Linked DNA regions of Saccharomyces cerevisiae S288C. The protein of the gene in region 2 interacts with the protein of the main gene of each other region in a pairwise test. Each region holds a gene or a part of one and is shown on either strand. Other genes may lie near its edges.

The links.
Region 1: the proteins of TYC1 (region 2) and ABM1 interact in a protein complementation assay, tested with the Saccharomyces cerevisiae proteins (one large-scale study listed by BioGRID).

What each region holds. Positions count from the first base shown.
Region 1 is NC_001142.9:627,165-632,414, reverse strand, and holds ABM1 (Abm1p), read right to left. Parts: upstream 3,704-5,250; coding exon 3,332-3,703; downstream 1-3,331. Other genes in the region: carbamoyl-phosphate synthase (glutamine-hydrolyzing) CPA2, read left to right, coding at 1-2,830; YJR107C-A (uncharacterized protein), read left to right, coding at 3,722-3,958; LIH1 (putative lipase), read right to left, coding at 4,089-5,075. UniProt on the Saccharomyces cerevisiae protein: Required for normal microtubule organization.
Region 2 is NC_001134.8:797,320-805,254, reverse strand, and holds TYC1 (Tyc1p), read left to right. Parts: upstream 1-5,012; coding exon 5,013-5,132; downstream 5,133-7,935. Other genes in the region: YBR298C-A (uncharacterized protein), read left to right, coding at 1-220; MAL31 (maltose permease), read left to right, coding at 780-2,624; transcription factor MAL33, read right to left, coding at 3,326-4,732; PHO89 (Pho89p), read left to right, coding at 6,733-7,935.

The DNA.
Region 1 (5,250 bases), on a different chromosome or scaffold from region 2:
TTTGGAGGCTGCTGAAAGGGTCAAATACCCAGTTATTGTCAGATCTGCATACGCTTTGGGTGGGTTAGGCTCAGGTTTCGCTAACAATGCAAGTGAAATGAAGGAACTTGCCGCACAGTCCTTGTCGTTGGCCCCACAAATTCTTGTTGAAAAATCTTTGAAAGGTTGGAAAGAAGTTGAATATGAAGTGGTCAGAGATAGGGTTGGTAACTGTATTACAGTATGTAATATGGAAAATTTCGACCCACTTGGTGTTCATACTGGTGATTCTATGGTTTTTGCTCCTTCGCAGACCCTATCAGATGAAGAGTTTCATATGTTAAGATCCGCCGCAATTAAAATCATTAGACACCTTGGTGTTATTGGTGAATGTAATGTCCAATACGCTTTGCAACCTGATGGGCTAGACTATAGAGTTATTGAAGTGAACGCACGTTTATCTCGTTCCTCTGCATTGGCGTCTAAGGCCACTGGTTATCCCTTAGCATACACTGCCGCCAAAATTGGGCTAGGCTATACTTTGCCAGAATTGCCAAACCCAATCACAAAAACTACAGTGGCTAACTTTGAGCCATCTTTGGATTATATTGTGGCAAAAATACCTAAGTGGGATCTTTCTAAGTTCCAATACGTGGACAGATCCATTGGTTCCTCTATGAAATCAGTTGGAGAAGTTATGGCTATTGGTAGAAACTATGAAGAAGCCTTTCAAAAAGCATTAAGACAGGTGGATCCATCATTATTGGGATTCCAAGGTTCTACTGAATTCGGCGATCAACTTGATGAAGCCTTGAGAACTCCAACTGATAGAAGAGTCCTTGCCATTGGTCAGGCCTTAATCCATGAAAACTATACTGTTGAGAGAGTTAATGAATTGAGTAAAATTGATAAATGGTTTCTTTACAAGTGCATGAACATTGTTAATATCTATAAAGAGCTTGAATCAGTTAAATCTTTAAGTGACTTGAGTAAAGATCTCTTGCAGAGAGCCAAGAAATTAGGGTTTTCAGATAAGCAGATTGCGGTTACTATAAATAAACACGCCTCCACAAACATTAACGAACTGGAAATCAGAAGTTTAAGAAAAACGTTAGGTATAATCCCTTTTGTCAAGAGAATCGATACTTTGGCCGCAGAATTTCCAGCACAAACCAATTATTTGTATACCACTTACAATGCTACAAAGAACGATGTGGAGTTCAACGAAAATGGTATGCTGGTTTTAGGCTCTGGTGTCTATCGTATTGGTTCATCTGTAGAATTTGATTGGTGTGCCGTGAACACCGCGAAGACATTAAGAGATCAAGGCAAGAAAACTATCATGATAAATTATAACCCAGAAACAGTTTCCACAGATTTCGATGAAGTTGATAGATTATACTTTGAAGAATTATCGTATGAAAGAGTGATGGACATTTATGAGTTGGAGCAATCTGAGGGTTGCATTATTTCTGTCGGTGGTCAATTACCTCAAAACATTGCCTTGAAACTTTACGATAACGGCTGTAATATAATGGGTACCAATCCAAACGATATTGATAGAGCTGAGAACAGACACAAATTCTCATCTATTTTGGATTCTATTGATGTTGACCAACCTGAATGGAGTGAATTAACATCAGTAGAAGAAGCAAAATTATTTGCTTCTAAAGTTAACTACCCTGTGTTGATTCGTCCCTCATATGTTCTTTCCGGTGCGGCAATGAGTGTTGTTAATAATGAGGAGGAACTGAAGGCTAAATTAACTTTGGCATCTGACGTTTCTCCAGACCACCCAGTCGTCATGTCTAAATTTATTGAAGGTGCTCAAGAAATTGATGTGGACGCCGTTGCTTATAATGGTAATGTCTTGGTACATGCCATTTCCGAGCATGTTGAAAATGCGGGTGTGCACTCCGGTGATGCTTCTTTAGTCTTACCGCCACAACATCTTTCTGACGATGTGAAGATTGCCCTAAAAGACATTGCTGATAAGGTCGCAAAAGCTTGGAAGATCACTGGCCCCTTCAATATGCAAATCATCAAGGATGGGGAGCATACATTGAAAGTGATTGAATGTAACATTAGAGCTTCTAGATCATTTCCATTCGTTTCAAAAGTTTTAGGCGTTAATTTTATTGAAATTGCTGTCAAGGCATTTTTGGGCGGTGACATTGTACCAAAACCTGTTGATTTGATGCTCAACAAAAAGTACGACTATGTTGCTACTAAAGTTCCTCAATTTTCCTTTACAAGGTTGGCTGGTGCAGATCCTTTCTTAGGGGTTGAAATGGCATCAACTGGTGAAGTTGCTTCATTTGGTAGAGATTTAATTGAAAGCTATTGGACTGCTATTCAAAGTACCATGAACTTCCATGTACCACTACCTCCAAGTGGTATATTATTTGGAGGTGATACATCTCGAGAATACTTGGGCCAAGTGGCTTCCATAGTGGCCACTATTGGTTACAGAATATACACAACTAATGAGACCACTAAAACGTATCTACAGGAACACATCAAAGAAAAGAACGCAAAGGTTTCTTTGATTAAATTTCCAAAGAATGATAAGAGAAAATTGCGTGAACTATTTCAAGAATATGACATAAAAGCTGTTTTCAATTTAGCCTCCAAGAGAGCTGAGAGCACTGACGATGTTGACTATATTATGAGAAGGAATGCTATTGATTTTGCTATCCCATTGTTCAATGAACCTCAAACGGCTTTGTTATTTGCAAAGTGTTTGAAGGCAAAAATTGCAGAAAAGATCAAAATTTTGGAATCTCATGACGTTATAGTTCCACCAGAAGTCCGTTCCTGGGATGAATTTATTGGTTTCAAAGCATATTGATTGTGCAAAAGAAAAACCTGCCTCTAATTGTATTACTGTATATTATATAATGGATTTTTTTAGAGATATTTTTAATTTCAAAGAGACTTCTTAGTGTATATTCTACCCCAGTATTATTATCTTGAACAAAAGTAGATCGCAAAACTTATCACTAAAATTCAAATGTATTTTCGAAGTGAGTAACGCATGGGCCGTGGAAAATAATTCATCAATCAATACCTCAGGCAAGTGTATTTACTATGCCTTTATATCTTCCGTATAATAATAGAGCGTTGATTAATTGAGATGTGCAACAATGTGACCAGTACACGTAGATTATAGCATTTTTCACCGATCAAGCTTAAGCTTAATGAATATGCAGTAGGGGGCCTTCATAAAAAAAGCTGTCCTTCTGGTTGTTGGCCATTACTTGGACTTCTTTCTTTCTGAAATGTTCTGCTAGGTGGAGCAACATGGGTAGATGATGTATAGAGAACGTTTACGCTACGGAGAGAATCCGCACTAAAATTCGTAGTGACAGATGCTATATACGCGCTTGCTAAGGGATAACCCATCAAGCCGGTCTGCTACGTTAGTGGCATGAGGCATATCATCTTCGTCTTCATCAATAGAGTTTGAGTTAATCCAAGCGGTTGCATTCTCGAGTGTTGTTAATAATCTAGTGTCAACCAATTTCTCTGTAGTAGCTTCTATGACAGAGATATTAAGTGTGTAATCACTTGTGCCCCAACATGTTGAGTAGTGGATATACGTATTGGATTCGGTAGAATTTAGCCATGCAGCGCTCAAAAAATTCCACGTGAGGAATATTTCCCAAGGGATGAAAATTTTAAAGCTTCCATCTACGGTCAAGATAGAGTACCTCCAAGACATACGTGGAAACTAGTAGACATGTGTGATGATAGCTATGATGCTGTAGAAGAATACTATTTCAACAAAAGCGTAGCCGGGATTAGTGGCCAGGAGAACTGGAATAAGCAGTTAGCTACCCAAGTGTATTCAAGAAGTTTACAACCAGAAATATTACCAACCCTAAAACCTCTTTCATGTAACAAAGAGAGGGCCAATGCAGGAAAAAGAGTTTCAGAAGAAGAGCAGATAAATGGAAAACGTAAGAGAAAAGATTAGAAGTTTTGAAAGAGTTATTTGTAAAAAGAACAATTATTAGTTAAGAATAGTGGTCGCATTTAGTTTAGAGTAACTCTAGAGCGGTATTATATATGCTAGTTATAGACAAAAACGTAAAAGTGGGTGAATGTTAAAGTCCAGAACATCCCACTACGTCAATGAAGTAGGCTCGATGTTCATAGACATGTAACCAGTCTTCAACCAAACCGCTCATACCCTCTCGAAATCCATCCTTTAAAGTTAACCTGTTATTTTTACCACGGTATTCAATATCTTCCGCATTCTGAGGTAGACCAACTTTGTTAATAAACATCTCTAAACCAGCCGGATGATAGAATGGTGGAACCATAGGAATATAATCACCTGTATGCACAACCCTAAAATAGCCCTTACGAAATTGAATTTCATCTTTAAGAATTGACTCCTTTTCTATAGCATCTGTTTCAAATAACTCGTCTACCCATTGTTTCATTTCACTGTTAAATATCTTTGGTGTTGCGAATGTCAGCACTAACGGATCAAAGCCTCTTATCTTTAATTCAATCCCAGCCAAACTTGCTAATGCTGCCCCCAAGGAGTGCCCAGTGACAACGATCCTATATTCCGGAAAGCTTTCCAGAATCGACTCCATTTTTTTAAAGACGTCCATCCCGAGAGTTTCTGTGAACCTTAGAAATCCTCTATGCATTTTACAACCTTCACATTCTCTGATTTTTCCTTCCTCTATAAGCTTACGATATTCCTTAACGCAAAGGGGAGAATAGTTAACAGGATATATTTCAAAATCACTAAACCAATCTTGTCTTGTTGTGGATCCTCTAAATGCTAAAATAACAACCTTTTTTCCGTGGTCAACAGCCAGATAACCCGAGCCTAATTCACCTTTTTTTGCATTAAGAACTAATTCAACCACTGTTTGACCCGCTGTTGGGTTAATTATCTCATCATTGCAGAAGTTAATATGTGGTGGACAACCTCCGTCGTTGAAGGTTTTATTAACAAGAAGTAAGTTGTCAGATATGCAGCTTGATATAGAGCTTGCCTTAATAAAATATACTAGACGCTCATAGATATATGGAGTGATGGGCAGGTTGGACGAACAATGAACAACAGGCATGAGTACTACAAAAAGATATAGTATGAAAAGTCTGGCAGGCATCATTGTTATGGGTTTCTCAATCGAAGTTTTGGATAGTTCCTGGCTACAACTTTTTTTTTGGAGCTCAATCAAAATAATTCATCCAAGGAAACGAAGGTTGAGACAGAAAGAATATATGGCCCATTTTTGTTTG
Region 2 (7,935 bases):
GGAACTTTTTATACCTTGCCCAGAGCGCCTCAAGAAAATGATGCTGAAAGAAGAATTGAGGAAGGAACTACTCATCTTACGTTGTTTGTATCATCCCACGATCCAAATCATGTTACCTACGTTAGGTACGCTAGGAACTGAAAAAAGAAAAGAAAAGTATGCGTTATCACTCTTCGAGCCAATTCTTAATTGTGTGGGGTCCGCGAAAACTTCCGGATAAATCCTGTAAACTTAAACTTAAACCCCGTGTTTAGCGAAATTTTCAACGAAGCGCGCAATAAGGAGAAATATTATATAAAAGCGAGAGTTTAAGCGAGGTTGCAAGAATCTCTACGGTACAGATGCAACTTACTATAGCCAAGGTCTATTCGTATTGGTATCCAAGCAGTGAAGCTACTCAGGGGAAAACATATTTTCAGAGATCAAAGTTATGTCAGTCTCTTTTTCATGTGTAACTTAACGTTTGTGCAGGTATCATACCGGCCTCCACATAATTTTTGTGGGGAAGACGTTGTTGTAGCAGTCTCCTTATACTCTCCAACAGGTGTTTAAAGACTTCTTCAGGCCTCATAGTCTACATCTGGAGACAACATTAGATAGAAGTTTCCACAGAGGCAGCTTTCAATATACTTTCGGCTGTGTACATTTCATCCTGAGTGAGCGCATATTGCATAAGTACTCAGTATATAAAGAGACACAATATACTCCATACTTGTTGTGAGTGGTTTTAGCGTATTCAGTATAACAATAAGAATTACATCCAAGACTATTAATTAACTATGAAGGGATTATCCTCATTAATAAACAGAAAAAAAGACAGGAACGACTCACACTTAGATGAGATCGAGAATGGCGTGAACGCTACCGAATTCAACTCGATAGAGATGGAGGAGCAAGGTAAGAAAAGTGATTTTGATCTTTCCCATCTTGAGTACGGTCCAGGTTCACTAATACCAAACGATAATAATGAAGAAGTCCCCGACCTTCTCGATGAAGCTATGCAGGACGCCAAAGAGGCAGATGAAAGTGAGAGGGGAATGCCACTCATGACAGCTTTGAAGACATATCCAAAAGCTGCTGCTTGGTCACTATTAGTTTCCACAACATTGATTCAAGAGGGTTATGACACAGCCATTCTAGGAGCTTTCTATGCCCTGCCTGTTTTTCAAAAAAAATATGGTTCTTTGAATAGCAATACAGGAGATTATGAAATTTCAGTTTCCTGGCAAATCGGTCTATGTCTATGCTACATGGCAGGTGAGATTGTCGGTTTGCAAATGACTGGGCCTTCTGTAGATTACATGGGCAACCGTTACACTCTGATCATGGCGTTGTTCTTTTTAGCGGCTTTCATTTTCATTCTGTATTTTTGCAAGAGTTTGGGTATGATTGCCGTGGGACAGGCATTGTGTGGTATGCCATGGGGTTGTTTCCAATGTTTGACCGTTTCTTATGCTTCTGAAATTTGTCCTTTGGCCCTAAGATACTATTTGACGACTTATTCTAATTTATGTTGGGCGTTCGGTCAACTTTTCGCTGCTGGTATTATGAAAAATTCCCAGAACAAATATGCCAACTCAGAACTAGGATATAAGCTACCTTTTGCTTTGCAGTGGATCTGGCCCCTTCCTTTGGCGGTAGGTATTTTTTTTGCACCAGAGTCTCCATGGTGGCTGGTTAAAAAAGGAAGGATTGATCAAGCGAGGAGATCACTTGAAAGAACATTAAGTGGTAAAGGACCCGAGAAAGAATTACTAGTGAGTATGGAACTCGATAAAATCAAAACTACTATAGAAAAGGAGCAGAAAATGTCTGATGAAGGAACTTACTGGGATTGTGTGAAAGATGGTATTAACAGGAGAAGAACGAGAATAGCTTGTTTATGTTGGATCGGTCAATGCTCCTGTGGTGCATCATTAATTGGTTATTCAACTTACTTTTATGAAAAAGCTGGTGTTAGCACTGATACGGCTTTTACTTTCAGTATTATCCAATATTGTCTTGGTATTGCTGCAACGTTTATATCCTGGTGGGCTTCAAAATATTGTGGCAGATTTGACCTTTATGCTTTTGGGCTGGCTTTTCAGGCTATTATGTTCTTCATTATCGGTGGTTTAGGATGTTCAGACACTCATGGCGCTAAAATGGGTAGTGGTGCTCTTCTAATGGTTGTCGCGTTCTTTTACAACCTCGGTATTGCACCTGTTGTTTTTTGCTTAGTGTCTGAAATACCGTCTTCAAGGCTAAGAACCAAAACAATTATTTTGGCTCGTAATGCTTACAATGTGATCCAAGTTGTAGTTACAGTTTTGATCATGTACCAATTGAACTCAGAGAAATGGAATTGGGGTGCTAAATCAGGCTTTTTCTGGGGAGGATTTTGTCTGGCCACTTTAGCTTGGGCTGTTGTCGATTTACCAGAAACCGCTGGCAGGACTTTTATTGAGATAAATGAATTGTTTAGACTTGGTGTTCCAGCAAGAAAGTTCAAGTCGACTAAAGTCGACCCTTTTGCAGCTGCCAAAGCAGCAGCTGCAGAAATTAATGTTAAAGATCCGAAGGAAGATTTGGAAACTTCTGTGGTAGATGAAGGGCGAAACACCTCATCTGTTGTGAACAAATGATTTTTTTAGCCAGTAGGTAGATACGGCGTTATTTAATTTTATTTTATATAACTAGTACTTAACACATCGAGTTTATTTTTACTCGACATTATGACTTTTTTTTGGTTTTGTTGCGGCTTTGAAGTTTTTTCAACTAGAGGTTATTATTTTGTTCTGAAAAAACGTTAATGATTTAAATGAATCATTGTGATGAGGGTCCTAGATTTAAATATCTTGCAAAAAGAAGTACTAATATACAATTTTTTCATTCCCGTTAATGAAAATGCTTGAATTTTTATATTGTATATTGATACACTCTATTCATGTTCCGGCAACAATTATTTTTTTTTTAATTCTGTAAATTTACTTTTTGACGTATTCTTTCAGCATTTCTGTGCTTATGTTAGAATTCAAGAGAGTATTCCCTATTCCTGGTAACGTAAATTCGCTTTGTAAATCAACGATACATGATTCTCATATCCCAACAAAAATGCCACAAAATTTATATTAGTAAGCTGCCCGCTTAAGTATATACTTAATGTAACTGTATATAGAATTATCATGACCATCAGAACTAAATATTACAAACAAGTAAGGCAGGAGTAGAATAATCTCGCCTGAAGAACATAGCTTCTTACACCCTCGAAAAGCAAGACTTAAGAATATCACTCACACTCTATCAGTATATCTATCTCGTATAAGTGAACGGCGTGAACAATAAATTAAGGAATTATGTCGTCTTCATCTTTGGAATCATCATTTAGGCGCAGTGGTCTAGAGATAGGCAAATCGATTAGAGCACTCTGACATTTAGTTGAAAACCTTTGAAACATTTTATGATTGCAATGTTTCAGGGAGAAAACGAACTTGGATACATCGCACAAAATATTCCAAGCCTCCAACTTCATATTGTGATCATACTTATTTACGATATCTACCAATGCATTGGCTACTTCCAATGATTTCATTGGTATTCCAGGACCATGTACATCATACAGGTTGTTTGGAGTTAAGAATATGTCGTCCAGCATATCCTTTGCAATTTCGACCAATATGTGAGCATTATTGGCGTTTGAGAAAAACTTGGTACCATTCATCTGAAACACTAGCTTCCAAGCCAGCGCCCTAATCCAATGTCGAGAAAATGAAATGTCCACATAGCCATAAGACCATGGTTCTATTTCAAGGGATGCTGTGTGAAGCTCTTTCCATATTTTTTTCAGTGAGTCTTCAGTGCAAGAACCGCTAGTAGACTCCGTAGCCAAAGCATCAAAAAAGCATTTACCTGGTACAGTAAATACTCTAATCATCTCAAAAAAGCTATCCAAAGAAAGTCGAGGGTCCGTTACGAACTCTGGCTGAGGTGGAGCTATTGTGGTATCCAAACTTGTAACACAATGAACATATACGGAATAGTATCTTTCCGTCAAGAGAAGCAAATAATACACCTTGCGTAAAAGCTGTTGCTCACGAAATGATAGTGATTCGTATGCTTTTTCACGATGTAACCCTGCTACAATAACAAGGCCAATAGCTTCACGACAAAGTCTGTATGAATTTCTTACATCAGAAGACTGTGAAAAACAACGTAGCAAGCAATAATATGTCATAATTCGGAAAATGTCTCTGCCGCTAAGGTCATCAAATTGTTGGCGTGAGGACATACAGAGAACGGCTAATTGTTTTCCAGTAAACGAAAATCCCCCCTCAGATTCTAATTCGCTTTGTAGATCGCTAAGATTGGCTGCTGAAAGAGCTACGAGAAACCAATAAACGTAATGGTCATTGTATTCTTCGTCCAAAAGCTTGTGAAGGTCATCATAAGAGAGTAAAGGCCAGATAACATATAGATTGTCGTGATAAAGCCTCAAACACTGATCAATCACCTTTTTAGGAACCTTCATTAATATTTCTGCCGCTGCCGTACAACTTTTATTATCTATAAACATTTTGGCCTTTGGTATATACTTTAAGCTTCTAGTTCCAATAGGCTTTGAGCCTCTTTTTTTTAATGGTTGCTGATATGTGCAATCGAAATTGTGCTCAATACAGCGACTACATGGTTTTTTACCATCACACTTTACTCGACGGACACGACAATAGTCGCATGCATACTTGACTAAAGTCATATTTAGAACATAAATATCTTCAAGATGCTCTCGTTCGATGTTTGATATTCAATATTTACACTCTAGTGTTTTCCCGAGAAAGAAACCTTCTGAAATGATTTTTTGTTCCTTTTTAATCTATTGAAAAATGGCGGTACGGACAATAAAATCCGGGGGCGGGGTAAATTGCGCATGGCCGTGGAATGTCACTGCAAAGTGAACGAGAAGATTAGAACACGGAATAAGGAAAACTTCTGGGGAATTTATTTTTCAAGATTTGGTTCCAGGTTTTTCCCCAGAAATGAAAGTGCTAGATGATTGGTTTTCAAGGAAGTTCTCAAAAGCTGTACACGGAAACAATCACGGCACCATTTCCTTGTCAACTCTGTCTTATATCAGAGTCCATAAACTAGTAAAATGACTTCGTAGAATCGAACAATATCTCACCATAAAATTTTTTTCACAAACAAAAAAGACGCTCTATTATACAAAAAGCTGCTGCGGCCCTTCTTAATGACTAAATCTTGACAACTGAGCTCTTTCACACCTGTGCAAAATCCAATGGGAGCAATAAATGTAACATATTTTTTTAACATACCACGGTAGGGCAATGAATATAAATAGATATTGGACCGTATCCTTTTCTGATCATCTTGAAAACATTGTCTTGCCTCTCAACAGCTTTATCTATTCTTCACCTCTCTTCGTTTGACTATTTCAGCATGTATTTTTTCACACAATTTTTCTTCCAACTATTTTCCAATATTACTACGAGAATTCCGACCACGGAAAAAAACTTGCGCTGTTCCAATCAGTCCCATTCTATCCATCTACCTGCCAGTGGTTTCGTAATATCGACTCACACCAGTAACGACATAACTGTTTTTTCGTTCATGATTTAATAGCGAGCCCACCTTTAACGCATATCTGCTTCACCGCTGAAATAATATTTTACGAGCACGCTAACACAATGCTTGTGTTTTCTGTTGAAATCACAATACCGTTACTTGGAGTGACCATTTATGGTTTGTTGAATTCACAGTACTCTCGTCAGCTTTGTCACGTATTCAACTGTAACCTCTTTGAATCTCAACACTACGTTGTCTTCGCGTGTACTAAATGTATCGATTATATAATAGTATTTAAAAATCATTTAAAATTGCACCATGTACTGTATAATGATTTTCTCAAGACGATATTTCGAGTTTTGCCGATGGGTCTTATAATCTCTTTTGATAGAGATACCTACTTTTAACAATATCAAAATTACTGATATAGGTTAATTTTTGTTCACGAGTAAGTACTTCAGTGACACTCGTCAGTAAAGAACATTAGCGGAATCGTTATAATTTCATTCCTTACATCCGTTTAATTTCATTAATTCGATGCATCTTTCTTTGGCGAAGCCAGAAAATCTAGTTTCAGAAATCTCGGTTTCACCCGCAAAAAAGTTTAAATTTCACAGATCGCGCCACACCGATCACAAAACGGCTTCACCACAAGGGTGTGTGGCTGTGCGATAGACCTTTTTTTTCTTTTTCTGCTTTTTCGTCATCCCCACGTTGTGCCATTAATTTGTTAGTGGGCCCTTAAATGTCGAAATATTGCTAAAAATTGGCCCGAGTCATTGAAAGGCTTTAAGAATATACCGTACAAAGGAGTTTATGTAATCTTAATAAATTGCATATGACAATGCAGCACGTGGGAGACAAATAGTAATAATACTAATCTATCAATACTAGATGTCACAGCCACTTTGGATCCTTCTATTATGTAAATCATTAGATTAACTCAGTCAATAGCAGATTTTTTTTACAATGTCTACTGGGTGGACATCTCCAAACAATTCATGTCACTAAGCCCGGTTTTCGATATGAAGAAAATTATATATAAACCTGCTGAAGATGATCTTTACATTGAGGTTATTTTACATGAATTGTCATAGAATGAGTGACATAGATCAAAGGTGAGAATACTGGAGCGTATCTAATCGAATCAATATAAACAAAGATTAAGCAAAAATGGCTTTACATCAATTTGACTATATTTTTGCCATTGCCATGTTATTTGCATTTTTGGATGCCTTTAACATCGGGGCAAACGACGTGGCGAACTCATTCGCGTCGTCGATCTCTTCTAGATCTCTAAAATACTGGCAAGCCATGGTTTTGGCGGGTCTCTGTGAGTTCTTGGGTGCTGTCTTGGCAGGCGCAAGAGTTTCTGGTACTATCAAGAACAACATTATAGATTCCTCCATTTTTACCAACGACCCCGCTGTTTTAATGCTTACTATGACCAGTGCTTTGATTGGCTCGTCTTGTTGGTTAACATTTGCTACTGCAATCGGAATGCCAGTTTCTACTACACATTCCATTGTTGGTGGTACAATTGGCGCTGGGATTGCAGCCGGTGGAGCTAACGGTGTCGTTTGGGGTTGGAGTGGTGTTTCTCAAATTATTGCGTCATGGTTCATTGCTCCGATTTTGGCAGGCGCGATCGCAGCTATAGTTTTTTCAATTTCTAGGTTTTCTGTCCTTGAAGTTAAGTCTTTGGAAAGATCGATTAAGAATGCTTTACTGCTGGTTGGTGTTTTAGTATTCGCCACTTTCTCTATCTTAACAATGTTGATTGTCTGGAAGGGTTCTCCAAACCTACACTTGGACGATTTATCTGAAACTGAAACTGCCGTATCTATTGTTCTCACAGGTGCAATTGCTTCGATCGTTTACTTCATCTTTTTCTACCCATTCTACAGAAGAAAAGTTTTGGACCAAGATTGGACACTAAAGTTGATTGATATTTTCAGAGGTCCATCTTTTTACTTTAAGTCCACTGATGATATCCCACCAATGCCAGAAGGCCATCAATTAACAATCGATTATTACGAGGGCAGAAGAAATCTTGGAACAACTGTTTCTGTTGAAGACGAAGAAAATAAGGCAGCGAGTAATTCTAATGATTCCGTCAAAAACAAAGAAGACATCCAGGAAGTGGACCTGGTTAGAACTGAAACTGAACCAGAAACAAAGTTGTCAACGAAACAATATTGGTGGTCATTATTAAAGCAAGGACCTAAAAAATGGCCCTTATTGTTCTGGTTAGTAATCTCTCATGGTTGGACTCAAGACGTCATTCATGCTCAAGTTAATGATAGAGATATGTTATCTGGTGACCTGAAAGGAATGTACGAAAGATCTAAATTTTACGACAATAGAGTAGAATAT